2 linked regions of the Sus scrofa genome follow. Each later gene encodes a partner of the first gene's protein in a complex. Links are inferred from orthologs where the notes say so. Each region holds a gene or a part of one and is shown on either strand. Other genes may lie near its edges.

The links. Proteins that work in one complex are often made in the same cells at the same time.
Region 2: GEMIN5 (region 1) and STRAP share a complex: the UniProt entries of both Homo sapiens proteins name them as parts of the SMN-Sm complex. The link is inferred for Sus scrofa from reciprocal best matches to the Homo sapiens genes GEMIN5 and STRAP.

Annotation. Positions count from the first base shown.
Region 1 is NC_010458.4:68,317,219-68,320,736, reverse strand, and holds part of GEMIN5 (gem-associated protein 5), read right to left. Parts: intron 3,446-3,518; coding exon 3,326-3,445; intron 2,821-3,325; coding exon 2,610-2,820; intron 890-2,609; coding exon 635-889; intron 1-634. UniProt on the Homo sapiens protein: The SMN complex catalyzes the assembly of small nuclear ribonucleoproteins (snRNPs), the building blocks of the spliceosome, and thereby plays an important role in the splicing of cellular pre-mRNAs.
Region 2 is NC_010447.5:56,719,878-56,723,395, forward strand, and holds part of STRAP (serine-threonine kinase receptor-associated protein), read right to left. Parts: intron 1,052-3,518; coding exon 915-1,051; intron 1-914. UniProt on the Homo sapiens protein: The SMN complex catalyzes the assembly of small nuclear ribonucleoproteins (snRNPs), the building blocks of the spliceosome, and thereby plays an important role in the splicing of cellular pre-mRNAs.

The DNA.
Region 1 (3,518 bases):
GCTATAATGAATCAACCTATTCTCTGTGCAAAAACATGGACAAGTTTTACAGACAGGGGTCACATAAACAAGCCACATAATAATGCACATGGTCTGACGCAAGGGCTGTTTTTGGTAAGCCAGGGAAAGGGAACGAAACTGGGCAAGGGAACATGAGGGACTTCAAGCTGATTTTGTTTCTTTTACCAAAGACAAAAAGAATATACAAAACAAAACTAAAAAACTCCATGAAGCAAAAATGACAAAATGTGAACATCTGTTAATTCTAATTGATAGGTACTTATTCATTGTATTCCTCTTCATTTTTAGACTTTTTTTTTTTTTTCTTTTAAAAGGGAATACAGCTCTAAGACTAACTTCCAAAATAAAGGGTTTTAATTAGTCTGAAGGGATCTCTCCAAGGTTTCTTGGGCTTGCCTTAGTTTTTTTTTTTTTTATTTTTTATTTTCCCACTGTACAGCAAGGGGGTCAGGTTATCCTTACATGTATACATTGCAATTACAGTTTTTCCCCCAGTTTTTTTTTTTTGTAGAATGCAAACTGGCATTTTACATGTTGCCTTGTTGTACTAGACGTGGATTAAAGAAGTCTTACTCCTGAGAGGTTAGTATCAAAAGCTCACGTGCAGGGGTACCTGTTTGGAGGGGGTGTTATTGGTAGCAGATGGGTACTTGATATTTTGCAGCTGCTGAAGGGCTGCCTGGTACTGCTCTGGGGAGTCGAGGCTGAAGGCGCTCTTCCATACTGCGGTCACCCTTTCCACGAAGCACCCTTCGCTGCCCGAGGGCCAAGCATTGTAAGAGGAGGAGGCGCTTTTGCCCTCCGAAAGCTGCTTTTCCTCTAGCTGCTTGGACAGCAGCTCCAGAAGGCAGAACACCAATCTCTGACCCTGGAACCAACAACAAAGGAGAGGAACTGTCAGGCAGGGAAGTGCTCAGTTATCTGGAGATTTCTCCAGTCTCTCAGTCTCCCTCTTTGCATTTGAGCAACCACAGACAATTTTTCCAGATGCCTTTTGAAAGATTCCTACCCAGAGCCCTTGGAGCTTAAGCAACCATATTTACAACATGAAATCCCAACTATAGCCCTATTCACCGAAACTTAAGCCACATGCAGCCCAGCTACCTACGACTTGTGGCCCAGTTTGAGCCAAGAGGGGGTGGACTCATCCAGTTTTTTCCCCTTGCCCAAACCTCAGATTAAGGAATACAGAAGTTAAAGCTTAACAGGCAGAAGGTGCTGGAACAGACAAGTTGTGTAGCTCTAAGGGCCGGGGCAGTGGTTAGGGGCCATGTCCAAGGAGGTTTAACCGAGGGAGTCAACTAGAAGAGAACAAAAGCAGAGAAAAGGCCTGGAGAAATACTTATTTTTACTGGATTTTCAGTTGCCATGAGATTCCTTGTGTACCCCCATAATATTTTCTCAGTTAAGCTTGGGAAGGTCTTTGTTCTTATAGCCAAAACAGCCCTTAGCAGAACAATGTTTAGCATAAACTTAGGTTTTTTTGCTTTATTAAGGTTGCCATTTTAGGGGAGAAAAAAAAGAAGTGCCAAATAACCACTCTGGAAACTTTTTTTTGTTATGGTTATCTCTCTAAATTTGGTCACTTTATAAATAATATACTAACCGACACTATCCTTTGAGGGTGTTCTACTTTTACCTCCATTTTTTATTTTGCAGTTCCCAGAAAGCTACGCCTCGCCTAACATTTTTCTTGGGTAAGGAATATTCAGCTAGGAACTCGGGTCTTTAGGCTGAGTACTGAAGGGAAAGAGGAACTGAAGAAATTCACATATTGCCTGACAAGCAAAGCTGTCTAAAATGGACCAGATGTTTACATGTTTTAAAAACTAGGTGAGGGAGTTCCCATCGTGGCGCAGTGGTTAACGAATCCGACTAGGAACCATGAGGTTGCGGGTTCGATCCCTGCCCTTGCCCCGTGGGTTAACGATCCGGCGTTGCCGTGAGCTGTGGTGTAGATTGCAGACACGTCTTGGATCCCGAGTTGTTGTGGCTCTGGCGTAGGCTGGCAGCTACAGCTCCGATTAGACCCCTAGCCTGGGAACCCTCCCATATGCCGCGGGAGCGGCCCAAGAAATGGCAAAAAGACAAAAAAAAAACCTAGATGAGTGTGCTGATGCTTTTAAAACAATCTGAATTTTGATGTGTCAAAAAGGACAGTGGTTATTTAAGTTACTCATTTTTAACCAGATGGAACAGAATACTTAACACAATGGTTTGATTTCCCCCAATTCGTTACAGCTTACAGTTGAAGAGGGCTGCTTTGGGCAGAGCACCAGCCAGCCTCTCTCTTCACTGATGTGCTGATGACATCAATGACGGGAGGCCAGACTGCCAGCCCAGAGAGGCTGAGCTGCTAAGCAATGGCGATACCTTTCAGGGACCACATTATCCCTTTCTCTGAGTCGGGTAAGGGAGAAGCCACAGTTCTTAAAGGGGCGCTGCATGGCCAGGACTTGCTGGACGCTTCTGGGGATAGCTGCCAAATTGGTACAGCTTGTCCAATTGGGTAATTCACTCAGACTCTGACTAGAAAAGGACTTGGGGCTCTTCCCTCTTAAAAGCAGGAGAGGCAGTAACAGACTGACCTTGAGACTTTCGTGGAGCTGCAGGGCTTCCTGGGCTCCCACCCAGTTCCTGGCCATAAGCAGCTCTTGGGCACATCTGAGAGCCAGGGAAGCAGACAACTCACTCTCTCCTACGATGGAAGCCAACTCTGCAGCGGTTCTAAGTGATGCCGCGTCCCCCTTTTTGGCCAAGACTTTGGCTGCGTCATAAGCCGAAGTGGCCCCTAAATAGCTGAAATACAAAAGAAAACTCAAGCCAAGGGTCATAGACAGATCTCTTACTCCTGCTTCATAGCGGGTTGAATCATTTCTTTCTGTCCACTTTGCTAGCGTGCTTTGCCGTGGTCCCGGTTGTGGCACTGCCTGTGGCTGTCCCTGTGAAGCCTGAGGCCAGCGCAGAAGGGAATGAGGCAGCATAATACAGGTTAAGGAGATAAAAGAAACCTCAACAGTTGCCAAGTTGAGCATAAGCAAAGAAGTCATTCCCTCTCATTTTCCACACTTAATGATAGAAGACATCCCCAAAGAAAGGTGTAATTTCTTGGACAGTTATGGTCATTTATATAAATGCCAAGTAGGTAGACCTTGATGAGTCTTATGAAGCTGGGTTTAACACACATATGCTTTTTAATTTGCTGGTCACCTTACCCCACCTCTAAACTCCTCGCTTCCATTCTTGTCCTGCTCTCTGTGGAACCTCTTCTTTTTGGGCGCCCTCCTCTTTGCCTCAGACTTACCATTTGGCTGCTAAGGCATAATGACCGTCTTTTTCTAGGATGGCTCCCCAGCTGAGGTACAGGTCTCTCAGGATTGGGTCCTCTGGGCGCAGCCGGGCCTTGGCAATGGCAATGGCCTCCCTAGAGGCAAGAATAGGCAATTAGCCAATCTGAAAAGGCTCCTCTGTAAGAGACCCTCAGAAGGGCTGCAGGG
Region 2 (3,518 bases), on another chromosome or scaffold:
GATTAAGGATCCAGCATTGCTGCAGCTGCAGCTTGGGTCGTGACTGTGCCTTGATCTGATCCCCAGCCTGGGAAAGTCCGTGTGCTGTGGGGCGGTCCAGGAAAGGAAAATACCCTCTAAAATCTATAGAATCTAAAGTCTATCGATTGCCCATTTCCAAATCCTCAACTATTTACCAGGGAACCAATTCTTATTATGACTACAGACAGCCACCAGATGGAGCTATCTGACACACTCTGCATCTTAATTTCCTATCAGACTATCTAGGGTCTACTAGTCATTCCATCCCACAGAGAACATTGAGATCCAGGATCAATGCTGATGCTCATATGGAGTTTAATGAGAAAATGTACAGTTCAGCAGTGGTGTGGTTCTGCTTAAGGCATATCCTTATTTATAAACCTTTTTTCTTTTACTTTCTAATACCTCATCACCTTATCAATTTCCAAAGCTCTTTACTACAGCAATGTTCCCTGCTCAGTCTCCATGTCTATTCAACTTAAGGACACTCATGCACTCTCTCCTCCTAGACAATATCATGAGCGTGTTATCATGAGTGTAAAAAATTATGTGTAGAAAGAATATTAGGTTTTGAAATAAGAATGGCTGGCTGGGTCCAAGTTCAGTTTCACTAATTGTGACCACAAATATCAGGCAAATAATTTACTTCTCTTCTTTAACATGCGGCCAAAACATTCTAAAACTCTGAAAAGTGACATTAAATAATCAGAAAGAATCTCTTATTTAAAAGTCACTTAATTCAAGCGATAAATGGTGAACCATAAACAATTAAACAGATTCTATTTGGTCTATAATATTGCACTTACCCAACCCAAAGCCATCAGTTTTCCCCCCAAAAAAAACCAAAATGTAAAAAGATCATCACTTTAAGGGAGTAAAAGAGGACAACTCACCTAATTCTTCTCCACTATTATAATCATACTTATAAAGTTTAAAATCTTCACCACCTGCAACAAGAAATTCTTTCTCAGGATGAAGAGATGCAGAATTGATGGTTGCAGGAGCTTCAAAGGATTTAATTGGGTCCAAACTAGAAAAAAATTTAAATATTTCTATCAGGCTATAAAACAATAACTAAAACTGGAACTATAGCTACATACTAAAAATCAATGCATAACAATAGCTCCACTTGAGTAACAACGAGTTGGGACACTGGGTCTATTCCAATCCAACCCTAAAAATCCTGAAAGGTGGAGTTTCCGTTGTGGTGCAGCAGAAATGAATCTGACTAGGAACTGTGAGGTTGTAGATTTGATCCCTGGCCTTGCTCAGTGGATTAAGGATCCGGTGTTGCCGTGAGCTGTGGTGTAGGTTGCAGATGCGGCTCCGATCTGGTGTCCCTGTGGCTGTGGTGTAGGCTGGCAGGTATAGCTCCAATTTGTCCCCTAGCCTGCTGATCTCCATATGCCACAGGTATGGCCCCCCAAAAAAAAAAAAAAAAAAAACAAACCTGAAAGGTCTCTAACACAAAACGCGAGAGCATTCCAGTTCCTATATGCTGCCATCCTATTCCCATCAACACACACTACAAAGCTTGAAAATTAAAGTTAGATATAACTTATGAAGGATCACTAAAAAGCAACTTTCTGGGTCAAATATTTAATAGGCGAGCAAATCTCTGCCACCAAAATGAGATTTGAGGCATTGTTCTATAGGAGGGCTGCATAGGGCCCAAATCCAGAAGCAATGAACACAGCTGTTATAACCAAATGGTTCTGGACAATAACATTCCATTATTATCATTGTATGTGTATGAACCTCTTTACATTCTTAATTGCTCTTCTCCCTTTTGATTGCCTTCTCTTTCCTTCCACCATTCAGGGAAGCTTAGCTCTGCAAGTGACCCTTTAGAGAAAAAGTTGGGATGCTGGTCAGAGTATAATGTAGTATATTCTTTATGGAAAATAAGTGGCATGTGTACTAAGAACTTTAAACACATTCCTACCCTTTGTTTCAAACTAGTTTATTTAGGGATTCCACTTTCACTCAATAGATTTTATATATTTCTCATACCCTTCCTCACTCATCAGTACATCTAAGTCTCAAGGTTTACTCAAGTGTCATCTTTTTTTTTTTTTTTTTTTTTTTTTTTTCCCACTGTACAGCAAGGGGGTCAGGTTATCCTTAGATGTATACATTGCAGTTACAGTTTTTTCCCCCACCCTTTCTTCTGTTGCGACATGAGTATCTAGACATAGTTCTCAATCAAGTGTCATCTTGATCAACCACCTTCATAACAGGATTTGTTTACAAGTCCTGGCTTTCCTGCAAGAGCCTCATTAATTTCAGTAATTTCTGATAGAGAACAGAGTTCACCAGCAGCTTTCACACTTTCCAAAGCACCAAACTCATCTTGTTTGTTCAATTTTGTTCCAACTTCAGGCAGAATACAGTAAACAACATCTCCCAAAGCTTCCTGTGCAAAATTGCTGATTCTCACTGTTCCAACACCTTTTTCTATTATTGTCTATCTGTGTATGCCTGTGAATTTACCCACTGGAGAGCAGAGTGCAAAGCGCGTGGCAGGCGCCCACCCAGGGTCATGATGGGTAGGGCTGGGCAGGTGACAAAGCAGCATGCAGGCTGCAGACTACTCCATCCATGACGGTCCTAACCTCTGAACTGGTAATTTGACTTACAGGATTCTCTTGGAAATACTCAGATGTACCCCTAAATCTCACTGCAGTGTTAAAATGGGGAAACTGATACATGATTTGGTATGACCTGCGAAGCAATACACCTCGTAAGGTTTTCAAAGAACTTCAATGGCTAAGAATATTTTAGAATAAAAAAATGAAAATTATACTTATTAGAGCCCTACAACTAGAGCAAAAAACCCACACAAATGTATATGCACATACAAAAAGGCAAAAAGACCAGCAAATATATAGCTACCACTAACTTTCTGCTATCTATGACTATAGTACTGTGGGTAAAATTTTCAAAATTATATTTTTTCTAATTTTCAGCAAAAACATTGAATACATTTATAATCACAAAAATTAAGTCTTTTTAAAAAGACCATTAGGGAGTTCACATCGAGGATCAGCAGTAATGAACCTGACTAGGATCCATGAGGATTCAGGTTTGAGCCTTGGCCTTGCTCAGTGGGTTAAGGATCTGGCATTGCCGTGAGCTGTGGTGTAGGTCACAGAAGCAGCTTGGATTCCATGTTGCTGTGGCTGTGATGTAGGCTGGCAGCTGCAGCTCCAATTCGACCTCTAGCCTGGGAACTTCCAAGTGTTACAGGTGCAGCACTAAAAAAGACAAACAATGAAATGAAATAAAATAAAATAAAATAAGAATTGAAATAAAAAGACCATTAGGTCTATACTATACTTGGAACGGGGGGGGAAAAAATCACAATTTCTCTGAAATTTTAAAGTGAAATAGCAGAATCAAGATCATAGCGGTTTTACACAGTAATGAACAACATTAATTATAGCACCAGTCCAGTGATCCTTTCAAGAAAATTATAAATTGAAAGTTGTTAAATT